3 linked regions of the Saccharomyces cerevisiae S288C genome follow. The protein of the gene in region 1 interacts with the protein of each later gene in a biochemical or structural test. Each region holds a gene or a part of one and is shown in the gene's direction. Other genes may lie near its edges.

Evidence for each region.
Region 2: the proteins of SSP2 (region 1) and ISC10 form a complex in vitro, tested with the Saccharomyces cerevisiae proteins (one study listed by BioGRID).
Region 3: the proteins of SSP2 (region 1) and SMK1 form a complex in vitro, tested with the Saccharomyces cerevisiae proteins (6 studies listed by BioGRID, with this or other methods).

The regions. Positions count from the first base shown.
Region 1 is NC_001147.6:788,242-791,602, reverse strand, and holds SSP2 (Ssp2p), read left to right. Parts: upstream 1-1,745; coding exon 1,746-2,861; downstream 2,862-3,361. Other genes in the region: pseudouridine synthase PUS7, read left to right, coding at 1-1,392; MET7 (tetrahydrofolate synthase), read right to left, coding at 2,962-3,361. UniProt on the Saccharomyces cerevisiae protein: Essential for sporulation and seems to have a role at the time of, or after, initiation of nuclear division. Appears to have a role in outer spore wall formation.
Region 2 is NC_001137.3:548,865-559,464, reverse strand, and holds ISC10 (Isc10p), read left to right. Parts: upstream 1-8,937; coding exon 8,938-9,741; downstream 9,742-10,600. Other genes in the region: PUG1 (Pug1p), read right to left, coding at 1-11; TOG1 (Tog1p), read left to right, coding at 785-3,169; FAU1 (5-formyltetrahydrofolate cyclo-ligase), read left to right, coding at 5,496-6,131; FMP10 (Fmp10p), read right to left, coding at 6,206-6,940; YER181C (uncharacterized protein), read left to right, coding at 7,669-7,992; SLO1 (Slo1p), read left to right, coding at 8,343-8,600; recombinase DMC1, read right to left, coding at 9,948-10,600. UniProt on the Saccharomyces cerevisiae protein: Indispensable for spore formation.
Region 3 is NC_001148.4:664,452-667,946, forward strand, and holds SMK1 (mitogen-activated protein kinase SMK1), read left to right. Parts: upstream 1-1,828; coding exon 1,829-2,995; downstream 2,996-3,495. Other genes in the region: autophagy protein ATG11, read right to left, coding at 1-222; peptide alpha-N-acetyltransferase MAK3, read left to right, coding at 509-1,039; NHP6A (high-mobility group nucleosome-binding protein), read right to left, coding at 1,242-1,523; YPR053C (uncharacterized protein), read right to left, coding at 1,337-1,792; exocyst subunit SEC8, read left to right, coding at 3,225-3,495. UniProt on the Saccharomyces cerevisiae protein: Required for spore wall assembly. Required for proper deposition of the two outer layers of the spore wall, the chitosan and dityrosine layers. Negatively regulates GSC2, an alternate catalytic subunit of the 1,3-beta-glucan synthase (GS).

The DNA.
Region 1 (3,361 bases):
GGTCCCAGTAAAGATTTTATTCACTTCACTCTACATAAAGAAAATAAGGATACTATGGAAGCTGTCAATGTTATAACAAAGTTGTTAAGAGTTCCAAGCCGTGTAATTAGATATGCAGGTACTAAGGATCGTAGAGCAGTAACGTGCCAAAGGGTTTCGATTTCAAAGATTGGTTTGGATAGACTAAATGCTTTAAATAGGACTTTAAAAGGAATGATTATCGGAAATTACAATTTTTCGGATGCAAGTTTGAATCTGGGAGACTTGAAGGGAAATGAGTTCGTTGTTGTTATTAGAGATGTTACCACCGGCAATAGTGAGGTATCACTGGAAGAAATTGTGTCTAACGGCTGTAAGTCTTTATCAGAAAATGGGTTTATCAATTATTTTGGTATGCAGAGATTCGGTACATTCAGTATTTCTACGCACACAATTGGTAGAGAATTGCTCCTTTCAAACTGGAAGAAGGCTGCTGAGTTGATTTTATCTGACCAGGATAACGTGCTTCCTAAATCTAAGGAAGCTAGGAAGATTTGGGCAGAAACTAAGGACGCGGCTTTAGCATTGAAGCAGATGCCAAGACAGTGTCTCGCAGAAAATGCGTTACTATATTCTTTATCTAATCAAAGAAAAGAAGAAGATGGAACTTATTCTGAGAACGCTTATTATACTGCTATTATGAAAATTCCCAGAAATTTGAGAACTATGTATGTACATGCCTACCAAAGTTACGTCTGGAATTCTATTGCTAGTAAGCGGATAGAACTACATGGTTTGAAGTTAGTTGTAGGTGACCTTGTCATTGATACTAGTGAAAAGTCACCACTAATTTCTGGGATTGACGATGAAGACTTTGATGAAGATGTCCGTGAAGCTCAGTTCATTCGTGCAAAAGCAGTAACTCAAGAGGATATCGACTCAGTTAAGTATACCATGGAAGATGTCGTGTTACCATCGCCGGGTTTTGATGTGCTTTATCCTTCCAACGAAGAATTGAAGCAACTGTATGTGGATATATTGAAAGCAGATAATATGGACCCATTTAATATGAGAAGAAAAGTTCGCGATTTTTCATTGGCTGGCTCTTATAGAACTGTTATTCAAAAGCCAAAGAGTTTAGAGTATAGAATAATTCACTATGATGATCCTTCTCAACAATTGGTGAACACTGATTTGGACATCCTGAATAACACCAGAGCAAAAGAAAGCGGCCAGAAGTATATGAAAGCCAAGTTGGACAGATATATGCCAGATAAAGGCGGTGAGAAGACTGCGGTGGTGTTAAAATTTCAATTAGGAACCTCCGCATATGCCACCATGGCATTACGTGAACTCATGAAGCTTGAGACTTCTCGCCGTGGCGACATGTGTGATGTTAAGGAGAATATCTAAGGTTATACGAGGTGCAATATTCATGTATATTAGTTTACTTTTTTTGTCGGAAGCTCTTTCCCTCATACACTATTGTTGTGTCCGTGTCGTGTCACTTCAGGCGTCGGTAAATATGTATCTGCGCATCGCACACAAAGATAAAGCCTTTTTAAATATAAACAACACCTTCTAGATATATCTTATCAAAGGATACAACCACGTTTCTCAACAAGAAGGACCTAATAGAGGAAAATTATTATACTGTAGCTATCAATATTTTATAAACAAAAAGACAGATATATTCTCGCGTATTGAAGTCGGGAATCCAACGAAGGTAAAATAATAATAAAATACGAAGCATTTAATCCGGTCAAATGTACAAGAACTATTATTCAAACACAGAAGTTTATAAAAAGCATAAAGACTCTGGAAGTTTGAGGAAGAAAGCTTTGAGATCGAGAAGATCATCTTTTTTTTCATTTTTCAATGACTCGTCTAGTTCGAATGGAAACGAATTCATAGGTTTTAGACGATTTGCAAAAGCATATCTGTTTGGTCGTGAGATAGGTTCATGTGGTACAGATTCATATACACCAGTTGGGGCAAATGTAAACAAAAGACGTTTAAAAAAAGAAGATAAAAACGATCAACAGCTTTGGAAAAGGCAGCACCATTCACAGGGTTGTTTTTTTCCCATAGATGATGACAGTAATAAGCAAACAGAAGCAGCCGTCAACAAATTTTATGAGAATGGAGAATACGTTAATCAGGATTTAATTTTCAAGGGAAAAGTATATTCAGAAGAATCAGAGGTTGTTGATGAGAAAACGGCAGGTTCTCAGAATCCCGCTCTTCTCAAAACAAGATCAATTTCATTAAACGATATACCGCGCGGCACAGGCATCTCTAGTGTATTGTCTCAAGTACGCGGAGGTTCCTTAGAAAGAATTATTGTCTATAGGTACGATACTCCGGAACGTTCTTTGCATAAAGTTGATCTTTTCTTCTTAAATTACGAGGGAGCTCAATCTTTTATGAGATACGCAAAAACAAATATTTTTAAAGTTAATGGAGTTCAATTAAAACCAGAATGGATATTCCTCGAGAGCACATATGAAAACATAATGAAAGAGCAATCTGTCAACAGAATAATAGAAGAGGAAAAGTTCATATCAAGATGTTTGATAGTGAAAAAAAGCTCGACAACAGCAATGCCTAACAAATCAAATCTGAATAAAGGGCAAACTTTAGAAAACATTGATATTCAAGAATTAGAAAAAGATTTTCAGAATTTTGGAGAGGTTCTAGAAATTACGCCTATTGTATCAAGAAAATTATGCGTATCTATATTCTTTTACGATATTTCCAGTGCTATGAGAGCTATGGAAGAATACGAACAAAAGGGCTCATATCTATATAATAAATATTTTAAAACATGGACAATATGGTACGGGAAAGATATTACAGACCAGCCTTGCATTGACTTGTAGTACGAATTTTTAAGTTGATAACTAAATTACTCTTCAACAAATAAATAAATGCAAATGAAGTCCATTATGTACGATTTTTAAAGTGCAAGTTACTTTCAAATTACTTTACATCTATTCTATCAAAAACGACCAATAATCCGCCAACAAGATGTAATGAACCAGTTACAAATATATCAGCAGGTTCATCGTATAGCGTTTCAATCAATTCATTTGCTTCCTCTATACTAGCCGTTACATGCGTTTTAGCACGATTATCGTCTATTTTGTTCCAATTCTTGACTAATGACTCCTGGACTTTCAATTTTTCTACATCTTCTTGAGAAGTGTTCATGGAAACGAGGTCAGCGCTGTATGAGCCTGATTTCCAAGTGACATTAGTAGTAAATATCACATCATCGAACGTTATTTCTGGCGAAACAGATGAGTACAGGTTATTCACAAGAGCGTTGGCATCTCTGCTTTGTTGGTTGAAGAGCAAGATCTTCTTTCTCTTCGACAAT
Region 2 (10,600 bases), on another chromosome or scaffold:
GTTGTGGACATTTTGGAACGTTGATGGACAATAAAAGATTAAGTAGCTATGTAATTGGACACTATTAACCTACTATCCTGGACATTTTGAGGCAAGAGACTATACATCCCACAATTGATTCGGTAGGTGCTTTTATACTGATTCATTTGAGGTCTTGGCATTTGTTCAATTGAAGTACATTTAGTTGAAAAGTTGAGATTTATTTAGGATGAGCTTGCCGCGGCATGGGGAAAGAAACACTTCATCCTGTATGGAGAAAAACCACTTTGCCGCGGCACATCAAAACAGGGCTGAAACCTTCAGTATGCGCGATACCATTACACGACAATCGCATGGCTTAGTCATAATAGATCGAGGCGCTCATATACATGGCAGCCACAATATTTGAAGGTCGACAAATAAGGACAATATCAACGGTTAGGATACCGAAACTTGAATATGGCTGGTTTCTCAGGAACAGCCGATACTGTCCTGATCTTAACTTAAGGTGCGGTGAAGTAACCTGGATTCAACGCTGCATGAAAGACCTGATTAGGCTTATTTGATAATCCAACAAAAAAAGTGATTGGTTGGTTTGCTAGTATTCAAAAATAACTATTTTGGAGTACTTTGTTTGTTTGAAAGGCTGGGTAATAATTTTTTTGATGTGTGCTTTGAACAGTAAAAACTTTCTTCCTTTCTATAAGCTAGAAGCAAATCCAAATCTCATCGAATAAGCGCATTAGGTTAACGACATTATTGTTGTTTAAATTTTAAGCTTTTTAGCTTTTTATATTTTATTGAGATGGCAGCAAAAAGAGGATTAGCCAAACAAAAATCTAGGGTAACCAAGGCCTGTGATAGATGCCATAGGAAAAAGATTAAGTGCAACAGTAAGAAGCCATGTTTTGGGTGTATTGGGTCTCAATCAAAATGTACGTATAGAAATCAATTTCGTGAACCGATTGAGGCTTTTTTCAATTATACTGGTAGTCTCAGTAATGATTTGGATAATGCTAAGTGCAGCATAGCAAAATTGAAGGCACAGTTACCTCCAAGCGCACCGGCCTCTTTACAGAAAGGCCTAGCAAACATTTGCACTGAGCTTGAAAAAATACAACCTCAGCTTTACCTCAATCTGGACAGTAAGGAAATTAGCTCGTATGGTGGCCTGAAATCGATAGAAACAGAAATTATCGGGAAACAGTCAAAATCTTTGAATAGGTTCTCCAACGCTTTTGAAAGCAATACTGCACAAAATGTCAGTATGTACTTTGGGGTCTATTCACCGTTGCTATATTTTGCCTCTACGGGTATTAGCTGGATAACTAAAAAATTGATTTCATGTTCGAATGATAGGGAGACGAGAGAAACTATCTATTTATTTTTGAAGTTTCTTGACGCTAGCTCTGCTAGCCATGCTGGTCCTAAAGTAACTTCGATATCTCCTTTAGAGTATTATTCAAAGCTAAACGGACTTTCATGTGGGAACGACGTACTTATTCAACACATTATGTCAAATATATCGAATGAAATCAAAGGAAATACAAACATTAACCAAACAATCAAATTCAATAAACCAACAGACTGGTTTATGTACGGAGTACAATTGATGGAACAGCACCACAAGGCGTTGGATCGTAAAAGTTCCAAAAAATTACTTCCTTTGAAATATTTTCTTGAGCAAGATGAGTTGATTTTTTGTCTCTGTCTTGAATATTTTGAAAGATCCCTATTTTCGACAATGTACGACTTGACTATTTTAAAGGGCTTAGTCTCGTTGATGAAACACAGATATTGGATAGACGATCCTTTTGTGCTGGGAAGAATTATTTCCACGATGTCCAGGCGAAGTTTGGATGCTGGTTTGAATCGTTGGGAATATTATATTGGTCAGGATGAGGACACTGCCGAAGAATATCGTAAGTTATGGTGGGACTGCTACTGGTGGGATAGATGGTATTCATTGGTCACCGGTAAGCAGCCATTGATACCACATGAAATGACTTCGTGTCTCTTTCCCAAGGATGTGGTTGGATTAGGGGTAGATGATTCGATGGACTGTTTTACTTTAATAAACTTGGTGGAGCTCGACCCAAGTAAGTTTGATATTTGTATCTCTTTCGGCTATATTCTATTAACGAAAATTATTACAGCGGTATTCTCTGGTTTGCTTTATAATCGACACTTTACAGACTACAGATTATTTGCAACTCCTAACGCTAAAGACCTAAATGGAACCGCACGACAGCTTATGGTAGAGTTTTCAAAAATATGTAAAATTTTTCAGTGCATACAAGACAAACTAATCCCTTTCCTCAAACAATATTCTGAAAATAGTAATGTATTTGAACTATACACCCATTTCGGATTTGCAAAGGTTTGTTGTTTTCAGGGAATGGAGAGTTTAATTTTAAGGATACAAAATCTTCTACAAGAAAGAGAGAGAATTGAACTTGATTCCTGCGTAAAGGACATCAGGCTTCAAACCTTTGAAGCATCTGTAGATATTTTGACGGATGTTCTCAAGCACGAAGATACGTTCTATATTTTCCGTTGTTCGTGGTTCATATATGCCATCTTGATGAATATTACCTTGAATTTTATCGAGACCCCTAGAAGGAACTCGATATGTTATTTATCCTTGATGTGCCGCATGATAGCCTCATATAATGACTTATTTGTGAGCTCTGGCAATGTTAATTTCAAGGGCAACAACGCCTTCTCTAAAAAGTTGGAAAATGGAACAGCGGTTTCTTTCATCCTAACACGCATCTGCTGTCAGATGTACACACGTTCACAGAAAATGGCTAAGGAATCGCTGTTTTGTGAATTGAAAAAATATGGCCAGGCTTGCTCAGATGCTGGTCAAGCTGCGTTGGACATTGAATGTATCTGGTACAGGAATATTATAGGCGAACACAAAGAATCAAGCTTCCGTAAAGAAATTCTCAGCATTCTTGATAGGGAAATGGGTGATTTGGTGAATAATAGAGTTATTGGCGTACAGGGAAAAAATCAAGAAGGTGCTTGTTATGAGAAGTTGTCACCCAGCAGCACCAGTGTTTCAGTTGGCATGGACTTTTGTAGCCTCGAAAATTTTGTGACTGCAGAATCTCTACCAGACCTTCTCAATCTATTTTGGGAGGACACTGAATTTGGTATTACTAAAGAAAACCTCGGAGAGTAAAAACCAAGTATGCACCTAAACAATTGATCACTTTCAATTAGGAAATAAAATCCCTTGATTTAGACGAATACTGTAGAATGCAATAAAAGGTTTTGTGATTCTAATCTAGTCCCTTACGTTATGCACCGCTTTCAGGAAGGTTATGGGCTGTACCATGAAATCAAAGGTGGCTCATAACTAGTAAGTAAAAGTAAATGTCCTTTTTTTATGCAAGATCTAGAACGATTCGAGTATGGTGTTGATACCACTGTGGTAAGTCTTTCAAGCTACACGCAATTACACACACTCACAAATCTAGTTGTATTTACTCCTTTTATTGTTGCTAGTCTAATTATTCGTCCCACGATTTTATCGTTCTTTGAGTATTTCGGGTCTCAAAAGATTGCTAAATGAAATAACTCTTAAAAATTGCTTCACATAGTCTTGTTGTTACATTCACAATTCACAGCTTTCCGTTGCTCATCGCTTGATAGGAATATATTATGATAGGGATTATCCTGAAAGTTTCAGCAAAACGATAATTACTTCAGCTTTTCTTCGTCTATTTAACCTAGTTTTCCGTCATAAATCCGTTCTCTTAAAAGCACACCTACTCCACTTTCTGAAATAACATAGATATTGAATTTGACTTAGATTCATATATTAGAAAAATCGAATAGTTTCCTGTGCCTAGAAATTCTAAGGTGCCATTCCAGAGGATTTTTATGACAAAGATGAGATGTAAGAATCAACTTTTTTTAATATTTTATATCTTTCATCAAAGAAACATCACAATGTATATTACAAAGTGGAGAAGCATCCAAAATATAGCTGCAGTGAGAATTCATTGAACTGTATCAACTGGGTGGAAAATGTCACAGTCACTTATGGAATTCTATGATTTTATTCAATAGAAAACATTTAGTAAAGCTGGTAACCGACCTTTTTTTTTTACACATTTTTTTTTTTTTTGCTGATTATACCTTGCATTCTAACACCGGGTTCTGATGTTATCACCTACTTTGTATCTCGCATCATTCTTTATTTGGTAGACACGTCCCAAAATGGAGGATGCGCACTAACGAAAATGAAGGATAATGCAGTGAGAATGATAATTTTGATATTGATAGGATCAATTGAAAGCATATCACATGTTTTTTGTGAAATGTTGTATAAGAGATAGCGCTCTTGTTGGGTTTCGATAGGGGGAATGTGGAGTATCTGATGTAACACTGTAGTCTTATTTCTTGTCATAAAGAGGGACTGATTGGGGTGAGGCATATTATATTATAGGAAAAATTGCAGAATATCTAGGTAGTAGTCGCTTCAATAAATTTTTTTCCGACACAAGAATAATGAGACAAATCGGACTATATTTGACGATTAAATAAACCCAAAGCACCCCTATGCTATATGGGGGAACTTTAGAGTAAACAAGGTTGAAATACGTCAATTTGTAATTTCATAAAATACGTGAGGTCTTTTTGTGAGAGATACTTGCCCATTTAGATTTTTGTCCATATCGTGATAATTTTTTTGAGTTTTAATTAATGTGCTCCACCATCACAGAGTGTGTACCAGTGCAACCCACTCAGGGATATGCTTTAAGTCATATATTCTCGCTCTATGGGAACCATAAGCTGGACACATTTCTTGAGGTTATTTAGTAGCGAAAAATGGCGCAATGTTACTCTTTCACTTCTATTATATGGGGCTACAATGCCAATAAGGATTAATGGGTAGCGATTGTGGTTTCTTACCTTTGTGTAGTTGCGTAGGCTTTTTAGTGTATCAGTGAGCAAATTTAGTCCAAAAAGATCGCCAGCGAAGACTGTCGTATCTGGATCATTCGTAGTATCGATAGCTTAGCGATATTCTCGAGGATGTAAAGACAGCAGATTGGAGTTCTGATAATTTTTCATTACTTTTCAGTGAGAGAGTGCCTTTCTCGTTTTATATCTCAATCCTACCCGTAGAACTGGTCTGCTATTCTCATTTATCATTTTATTTCAAAAAAACCTTCAGGAGACAAACTGATTCCATCAAAGGCCTGTTTGCTATCTAGGACAATATTCGAGCTTAGTAAGTCACTTCCTGAAAACCATTCTGCTTGCGAGCCCGAAGCTTTGTGGCAATCAGTCTTCCACATCTGTTTGCAAGGGTGTTTTATTTCATGTCGTGAGAGATTTGTGATTAAAGCTGTTTTTATTAATCAGTTAGCAGCTTCATTCTCTTGAAGGATATATATAATTTTCTCAGATTTCTTCCGAATAATATTTAATCATTGAAATGGCAAAAATAAAAATTACTGTCAGCTACGCTATCTTTATATAGCTACAAAAAATTAATGGCCACTAAGCAATTACTGAGACGTCAAATCAAAAGGGTAATAAATGCTCTTGACTACGATATTATCGCTGCAGAGTCGCATACTATTTCTCAAGCAGTACGCTCATTGATCGCTTCCGCCAATTCTAGGCGTGTAGCGTGTTATATGAGCATGGATAAAGGAGAAGTAACGACTGGAGAAATCATTAAGAATTTATTTCAAGATGGCCAGGAGGTCTTTCTGCCAAGATGTACTCATACTTCTGAATCGAAACACTTCAAATTACGGGAAGATCATCATCCACATTTAATATTCCATCGAATGAGTAGTTTGAAAATGGTTCGTGATTTGAAGCCTCAAGGTCCATATCAACTAAAAGAGCCTGAACCGCATATTGAGGAATCAGATATTCTAGATGTCGTATTGGTGCCTGGAGTGGCGTTTGATATTAAAACTGGTGCAAGGATGGGTCACGGTGCTGGGTATTATGACGATTTTTTCCAACGGTATAAGATACTGCATGAAGGCCAAAAGCCCCTCCTAGTTGGACTATGTCTTATGGAACAGGTGGCCTCTCCAATTCCTTTAGAAAAACATGATTATTCCATGGATTGTATAGTATGCGGAGATGGATCCATACATTGGTTTCAATAATTTCATATATGTATTATTTACATGGTACAGCTATTGTATAAATAAATAAATAAATAAATAAGTAGACGGCAAATCTATTTTTCTTCTTTTGGATTCCCTTGTTCGCTAGAAAACGTGGCATTAGCTTTGACCAATGTCCTGTTGCCACTTTGGTCCATAAGTTCAGCCTTTAATTTAGTTTTGTTACCGTATTGCTGAAGATCGGTGGTTCTTACTACAACAAATTGATTAGCTAACGTGGGGAACTTGTACGAGATACTCAAATTCTTGGTTTCTTGGTTTATATTTTTTGTTCCTTTTTCGAGTCTAATGGCCTCCTTCATTAAATCTTCAATAACTGTTGCTAAAATGCCTCCGTGAATTAAGAAAGGATAACCAGTAAGTTTCATTCCTAAATGGTATAGCCCGACAGTTTCACGCCTACTGGGGTTGTAGTAAACTCTTGGTGGTATAGCGACGCCACCTGGTGTATTTAATGCCCTTGACACTAACAAGTTCTCCTCTTCATTAGCAATCACTTGTACAAAACCAGCATTCTCCAACTGTTTTACTATGGGTAGGCCATTTAAACGTCTATTCAGATCAGCGTGATATTTGACGACTTCATCTGCGTTCTTGGGTAGGGCATCATATCTCCAATAAGCTAGTAAGTCCGTGAACGTCATATGCTGTGTCAAGTACCACCCTCCAAGAAAACTTCCCCCAAAAATTGTCCATGGAATCCATCTTCTTTTGGGTTTAGAGGCTGTCTTGAAAACAACGCCATTTGTATACGTTCTTATCTGGGCTATTGCGATTCTTTTAAACATCTTGGCCTTGCTGGTACGGTCTCTTTCTCTTCCTTACTTTTCTTAGTTTCTTTATAAACTCTTTGTGCACTTTGTGAGTTTGTTCCTTTTCTGCCAAGGGGTATGCCTCATCGAAAATTAATCAATCTTTAAATAAGGTATTATGTTAAATAAATGAAATGTAAAATGTGTCGCTAATGGAGTACTTAGAGACATTTTTGGAAATCAGTTTTGTGAAATATTAGAAAGAATTCCTTTTGTTTATTTGCTCAGAGTACAACATCTCAAGACTTTTATTCCTGTTGCAAACCAATGTTCACGTACGGTGACCCAAAATGATGGCAGTCATAATCAAATCTAATGGAAGTTGAAATCAAGAAACGATAATGTAATAGGATTGTAAATTACAACTTACAAAGCAAAAGAAGTAATAATAATATGCTATTTAGAATTGCCGATTCTCTTTTATTGATTCCTGTATCTTTTGAGGAGAACTTCTAGTATATGTCTAATGTCGTTTTACTAGAAATGGGACCCCTGAAAATCGTCAGCAACTTTCAACTGAATCTGAGAATGATGCTCAAGTCGTCATTTTATCTTGCAGAAGCTAAGTGCAGGAGTTGATAATACAGCAGAATTAAAAGTGACAACGCAAGAAACAAAAACAAATGCAATCTCAATATTATGTGAAATTGATGATTTCGTAGCGAATCATGCGCACTGTGGGAGAAGCCTGGGTATAATTATGTATGCTAATACTGTTACGTTTATCTGAGGTTTGTGTGAATTTTGTGATAATTATCGGGATTCCATTGTTGATAGAGGCTTCAATACTATGTATACAGAACATACTAGAACTTCTCCTCAAGGGTATAGGGATCCTCAAATTTAATCGGTATTTGCATACAATAATATTACGATTATTTTTCCTATCGTTTTATATGCTTCATTTTCCCATTACATTATCAATTCTTGCATTTCAGCTTCCATTAAACTTGCTAACTCTTTCTCAAGCTTCATTTCATCTTCCTAGATCTCATATGATACTATACCAGCAGCAAGAATGCTACTAAATGGATGATATTCTAGAGTTTCATTTCATCATCTACACGAAGGGATGGGGGCATCTGAAGTATTTGAAACGTTGCTATGATTTCATAATTTATGCAGGTTTAACACAGATTACAGGTCTCTTGGCCCAGTTGGTTAAGGCACCGTGCTAATAACGCGGGGATCAGCGGTTCGATCCCGCTAGAGACCAATTTTTTTGAAAATCGTAAAAAGGCCCAAAAGGGAGAGCACAGCACGTTCTGCTTAAAAAAATAAAAAATGATGTCTTCAATAAAACATCTTAAGGACCAGTTTGTAGATCTGCGAAGTTGTTGACTAGATAAATTATAATAGCAAACAAACAAATAGGACAATGTCAGCGGAGAACATTAGTACTGGCTCGCCGACGGGCAAGCAGCCATCCTCTGAAGTTAATCTTGGCGAAAGAGAAGCTGGAACAAAAAATGAGAGGATGATGCGCCAAACCAAACTTCTGAAGGATACATTAGACTTGTTGTGGAATAAAACCTTAGAGCAGCAAGAGGTGTGTGAGCAACTAAAGCAAGAAAATGATTATCTAGAAGATTACATTGGCAATTTGATGAGATCCAGTAATGTGTTGGAAAAATAACTTTTCAACGTAGGTTTCTGTTTTAAATAGGTAGATCAGTCAAACGGATGCGTCGCATAAATGGCTGATAAATTTTTCCACTACTCGTTTTCTCTTTTTCTGAGTTTCTATATTTTGCGCCTGTTTTACAAAGAAACCAGTATGGTTTGATCCCATGGGCGATGCCACAAAGAAGCTATAGAGAAAAAATGTTAAAATATTCGAAAAAGCTTCGAAAGATTTTATTGCGGTCACTCATGATCATAAAAAAAACCCTTCTCGCATTTGTAACATTGTATTTTAGTTTCTACTTCTTGTAGCAGGCCCTGAAGTATAGATTCTCAGACACAGTGACAAAATGGATGTCGATGAGAGGTTGCATCAAGATGAAAATCAAACCCACCCTTTTTCGCAAAAGAAGTCAAGCAGTTTCTTGATAAAGGAAAAAGCTGCTACAAAATCCAAGGATCTTGAACATATAAGGCTTCGTGACCTAAATTTCAATCATAGAAAAAAGCTAGATGACAAAAAATTGGCAAAGCAAATCCCAGTTAAGGCAAATTTCAAGAAGCCTAACGAAATTGAAGCTCGCGCTAACCTAAATTCAAATGAATTAACAGATATCAACCTTGACTATATACCGGATTCCCCATCTATAGAGAAAATATCAGGGCCTGAGGATTCTATTGTTGTAACGCCAAGAAATATCATACATTTACAATCTGATTCAGATATTATTCTCGAGGAATGCGAGCATAATTATGACTGTAGCCCTTTTTACCGTCTGTTCAACTACGAAAATAGAATTGAGCCCGATGACTACGAGGCTATTATAAACGCTATAATAACTGACGAAATTGCTGGCACATATCCGGTTTTCGAACGGGAATTAGAGTACCAAGAACTGAAAAGTCTTGTCAGAAAGCGAGATTATATTATGTATTATTTCTTGTCAAGGGATTATCGGGGGTTTTTTCAGTTGAAAGAGGAACGTACTTTATTTTATAGGTACCCTTCAATTGCGTACACTAGCCCGTTGAGGTATCTGGATAATGGATCTGAAACCGAGCAGTTTACCGGGGATGATGATGAGGAGCTCCAATCATTTGATTTTGAAAACACATCATCTGTGAGGACTTTAGATAGTAATATATGGCGTTAGGTAATGCTCAATTTTATATACGCATATGCACCATAGTAATTTAATATTTTTTTTCCGAATTACAACAATTATATTATAATATTCCTTTCTTTTGGAGCTGCTAAAACAAAGAATCATAACAAGATATTAATAATATTAGTAACACAAAGTAAAAGAAAAGTTTAATAAAGGAGCAATGTCATCTTCATTAAAAAAGTATACAAAAACTAGTCACTTGAATCGGTAATACCTTTTTCACCAATTACGTAGACACATTCTTTTTCAGGCATATCTGGGGAATCTTGTAACTTGGCAACTCTTTCGTCACCACGCCCTTTTCTCAACAAAATCCTTGTTGCTGACGCATGTGCCAGAACGTGCCCTCCAATTGGTTTCCTACCATCTGCCGAGGCAAATAATGCAGAAGCACCTGGGTCTGATTGAACTTGGTTTGTCAGAAATACTGCAACATTAAATTCCTCTGCCAATCTATTCAATTTGAAAAGATGTTGATTTAGCTTTTGCTGTCTTTCGCTTAGTTCACCTCTACCGCAGTAGTCTACTCTGAAGTTTGCCATTATAGAATCTACCACGATAAGGCGATAATCTCCAGAACTAAGTTCTTCACCCAATTGTTCAACAAGTTCCATTTGATGTTCACTATTCAAGGCTCTAGCATATGAAACGTTTGCCAAACATGACTCGGGATCCAATTCATAACCTTCTGCAATTTGCTTAATCCTCTCGGGCCTGAAAGTGCCTTCTGTATCAATATATGCTACTTTCCCTTCACCACCACCCATTTCCCTCGGAAGCTGCGTGGTAACACACAAAGTATGAGACATCTGTGTCTTACCACACCTAAATTCACCAAATACTT
Region 3 (3,495 bases), on another chromosome or scaffold:
CGGTTTTAGTTTGTTACCATAAGGTAGTAGAATCAGCAGCTGATCGGGAGGAATCTTCCATTTCCTAGCAATGAACTGTTTAAATTTGTCCAGGGAAACGAAAAAATCAACATTCGTAGTTATACATTCTCCAGATATTGCATTTATGATAGTGGCTGTTGTCTGCAGTGGTGTTATTTCTTGCTGGGTAGGTGCAGTGCTATATTCATCAGCGTCTGCCATGATGTATAAAAGAAAATAAAAGAAGTACTTTCCGAACAACAACAGTACACTAAAATAATCGTTGTTCAAAGGAGGACTACTTTGGTTCTGATTTGAGAAAATGGTACTCAAATAAGGGCATCGCTATTATATAGTTCCATTCCTACCAAGAAACCGGGTAGCCAAAAGCGATAAAAAGGCTCTCCATGGCAAGCCTTATTAAAAATAATAATCATGAAGAACAAAGTTTCACAAGAGATTACAAGATAAAAAAGCCACTACTACAGAAAAGGCGTTGGGTCAGGACATGGAAATAGTGTACAAGCCATTGGACATACGTAACGAAGAGCAGTTTGCTAGTATTAAAAAACTAATAGATGCGGATCTATCAGAGCCGTACTCGATATACGTATATAGGTATTTCTTGAACCAATGGCCCGAGTTAACGTACATTGCCGTTGACAACAAGAGTGGAACGCCTAACATACCCATTGGTTGCATAGTGTGTAAGATGGACCCGCATAGAAACGTGAGACTGAGAGGATATATAGGAATGCTAGCCGTAGAGTCCACATACCGCGGGCATGGCATAGCAAAGAAACTAGTGGAAATTGCCATAGATAAAATGCAAAGGGAACATTGCGATGAGATCATGTTAGAAACAGAGGTGGAAAATTCGGCGGCTCTAAACTTATATGAAGGAATGGGTTTCATCAGAATGAAACGGATGTTCCGCTACTACTTGAATGAAGGGGACGCCTTTAAACTGATATTGCCGTTGACTGAAAAGAGCTGCACTCGGTCTACGTTCCTAATGCATGGCCGGCTGGCCACATAAAAGGAAAAACACTCGATGATGATAAAATATATATTAATAATACAATTTTTTTATTTATTTATTTAATCATATGTATAGATATAGAAAAAGGGCAGTAGAGAAAAGAGGAATAGAAAGGAGAGAGATAATAAAGCAAGTTTCAAAAAGAACAAGAGGAAAAGAAATTAAATCACACAGACAAAAACGCGGGGAGGAAGTATCCCTAAGCCAAAGTGGCGTTATATAACTCCTTTTCGGATTCATATCTCTTCTTATCGGCCTGGGCCTTGGCCTCGTAAGGCTGCTTTTCCTCTGGCGTTAGAGCCTTCCACTTCTCACCCAACTTCTTGCCGACTTGTCCAAATGTGATATCTGGATTTTCAGAACGAACAATATCTCTGTTTTCGTTAGCGAAAAACATGTAGGCGGACAAAGCCCTCTTAGGGGCATTTGGGTCCTTCTTCTTTCTAGTGGTTCTCTTCTTAGGTTCTCTTGGGGTGACCATTGCGACTGTGCTTTACTATGTATAGGGTAGTCAATTGAGCAAAAACAGGAAAAAAACACGTCCCAAAACAGTCCTTCTTTAACAGTCGGTACCAGTAATAAATACTGTGTTGTTTGTTTGCCCACCGCTAAATAAACGAACGGCGAAAAAAATAGGCGGCAAAAGGCGGGTGATTCGAAAAGTATCGCGCGCGACGAGGCGTGAGGGTAGAATTCGGCGCCACTAATTTGTGACACTTGAACAGTATTTAACGTCGTGCGATACATCATATCGATAGAAATGTAGACGTGCTCAACGCTCCAAGAATGAATTGCACACTTACAGATAATACCAGAGCCATAAATGTGGCCTCCAACCTCGGTGCTCCTCAACAGAGGACGATTTTTGCCAAGGAGAGAATATCCATCCCAGGATACTACGAGATAATCCAATTCCTGGGCAAGGGAGCCTATGGGACAGTGTGCTCAGTGAAGTTTAAGGGTCGAAGCCCAGCTGCTAGGATAGCGGTAAAGAAGATCAGCAACATCTTTAATAAGGAGATCCTTTTGAAAAGGGCCATCCGTGAGCTAAAATTCATGAACTTCTTCAAGGGCCATAAAAATATTGTAAATCTAATCGATCTAGAGATAGTGACCAGCTCGCCCTATGACGGACTGTATTGCTACCAGGAACTGATTGATTATGATTTGGCAAAAGTCATACATTCGTCCGTGCAGCTCTCGGAGTTTCATATCAAATACTTTCTTTACCAAATCCTGTGTGGGCTAAAGTACATACACAGTGCAGATGTCATCCACCGAGATTTGAAGCCTGGGAACATATTGTGCACATTGAATGGCTGTTTGAAGATCTGCGATTTTGGTCTCGCTAGGGGTATTCATGCCGGATTTTTCAAGTGTCATTCCACTGTGCAGCCCCATATAACCAACTACGTTGCTACAAGATGGTATAGGGCGCCTGAGCTGCTTCTTTCCAACCAACCGTATAGTAAGTCCGTAGACATATGGGCTGTAGGGTGCATTCTTGCAGAATTCTATGCTCGAAAGCCTGTTTTCATGGGGCGTGACTCCATGCACCAGATATTTGAAATCATCAAAGTCTTGGGTACTCCTGATAAAGATATTCTGATCAAGTTTGGCACCATTAAAGCTTGGAATCTAGGCAAAAACAGTAATAACCCTGTATATAAAAAAATCCCATGGTCCAACATTTTCCCCTTTGCCTCGCATGAAGCAATCAATCTCATAGAGTCATTACTTCATTGGGACTCAACACATAGGTTAAACGTGGAACAAGCTATATCACATCCGTTCCTAAACGAGGTGCGGAAGCCAGACGACGAGCCTGTTTGCCTTCAGGGTCCTTTCGACTTCACCTATGAATCCGAGTTGAATTCAATGTCCAAATTAAGAGACTACTTGGTTGAAGAAGTGAAAAATTTCAAAACCGATTTGTCCTCCTCGTCTTTATAGTAACCACTACACAAATAGGTATATCATGAAGTTATATTCTGACCGTAACAATTCTTCTTTCTTTGACGTAAACTTTATGGCGGGTAACGCTCAAATAGTTTCTTGTTAACCATTTCAAATAACAATAAGTATACAACTAAACAAAGTCTGCTACTTGTTAAATATAGGAGTATAAACAAGATAAGCTTGCTACTTTTTCAGCACAACCGCCACCTCTCGATTGCATACAATGGATTACCTAAAACCAGCGCAGAAGGGGAGAAGACGTGGTCTTTCCATAAACAGTCTTTCGGAGACTCAGCAATCTGCTATGAATAGTTCCCTGGACCATCTTCAGAATGACTTAAACAGGATAAATCTTCAATGGAATAGAATACTGTCGGATAACACTAATCCCTTAGAACTAGCGCTCGCATTTTTGGATGATACATCTGTAGGTCTGGGCCACCGGTATGAAGAATTCAATCAATTAAAGTCACAAATTGGTAGTCACTTACAAG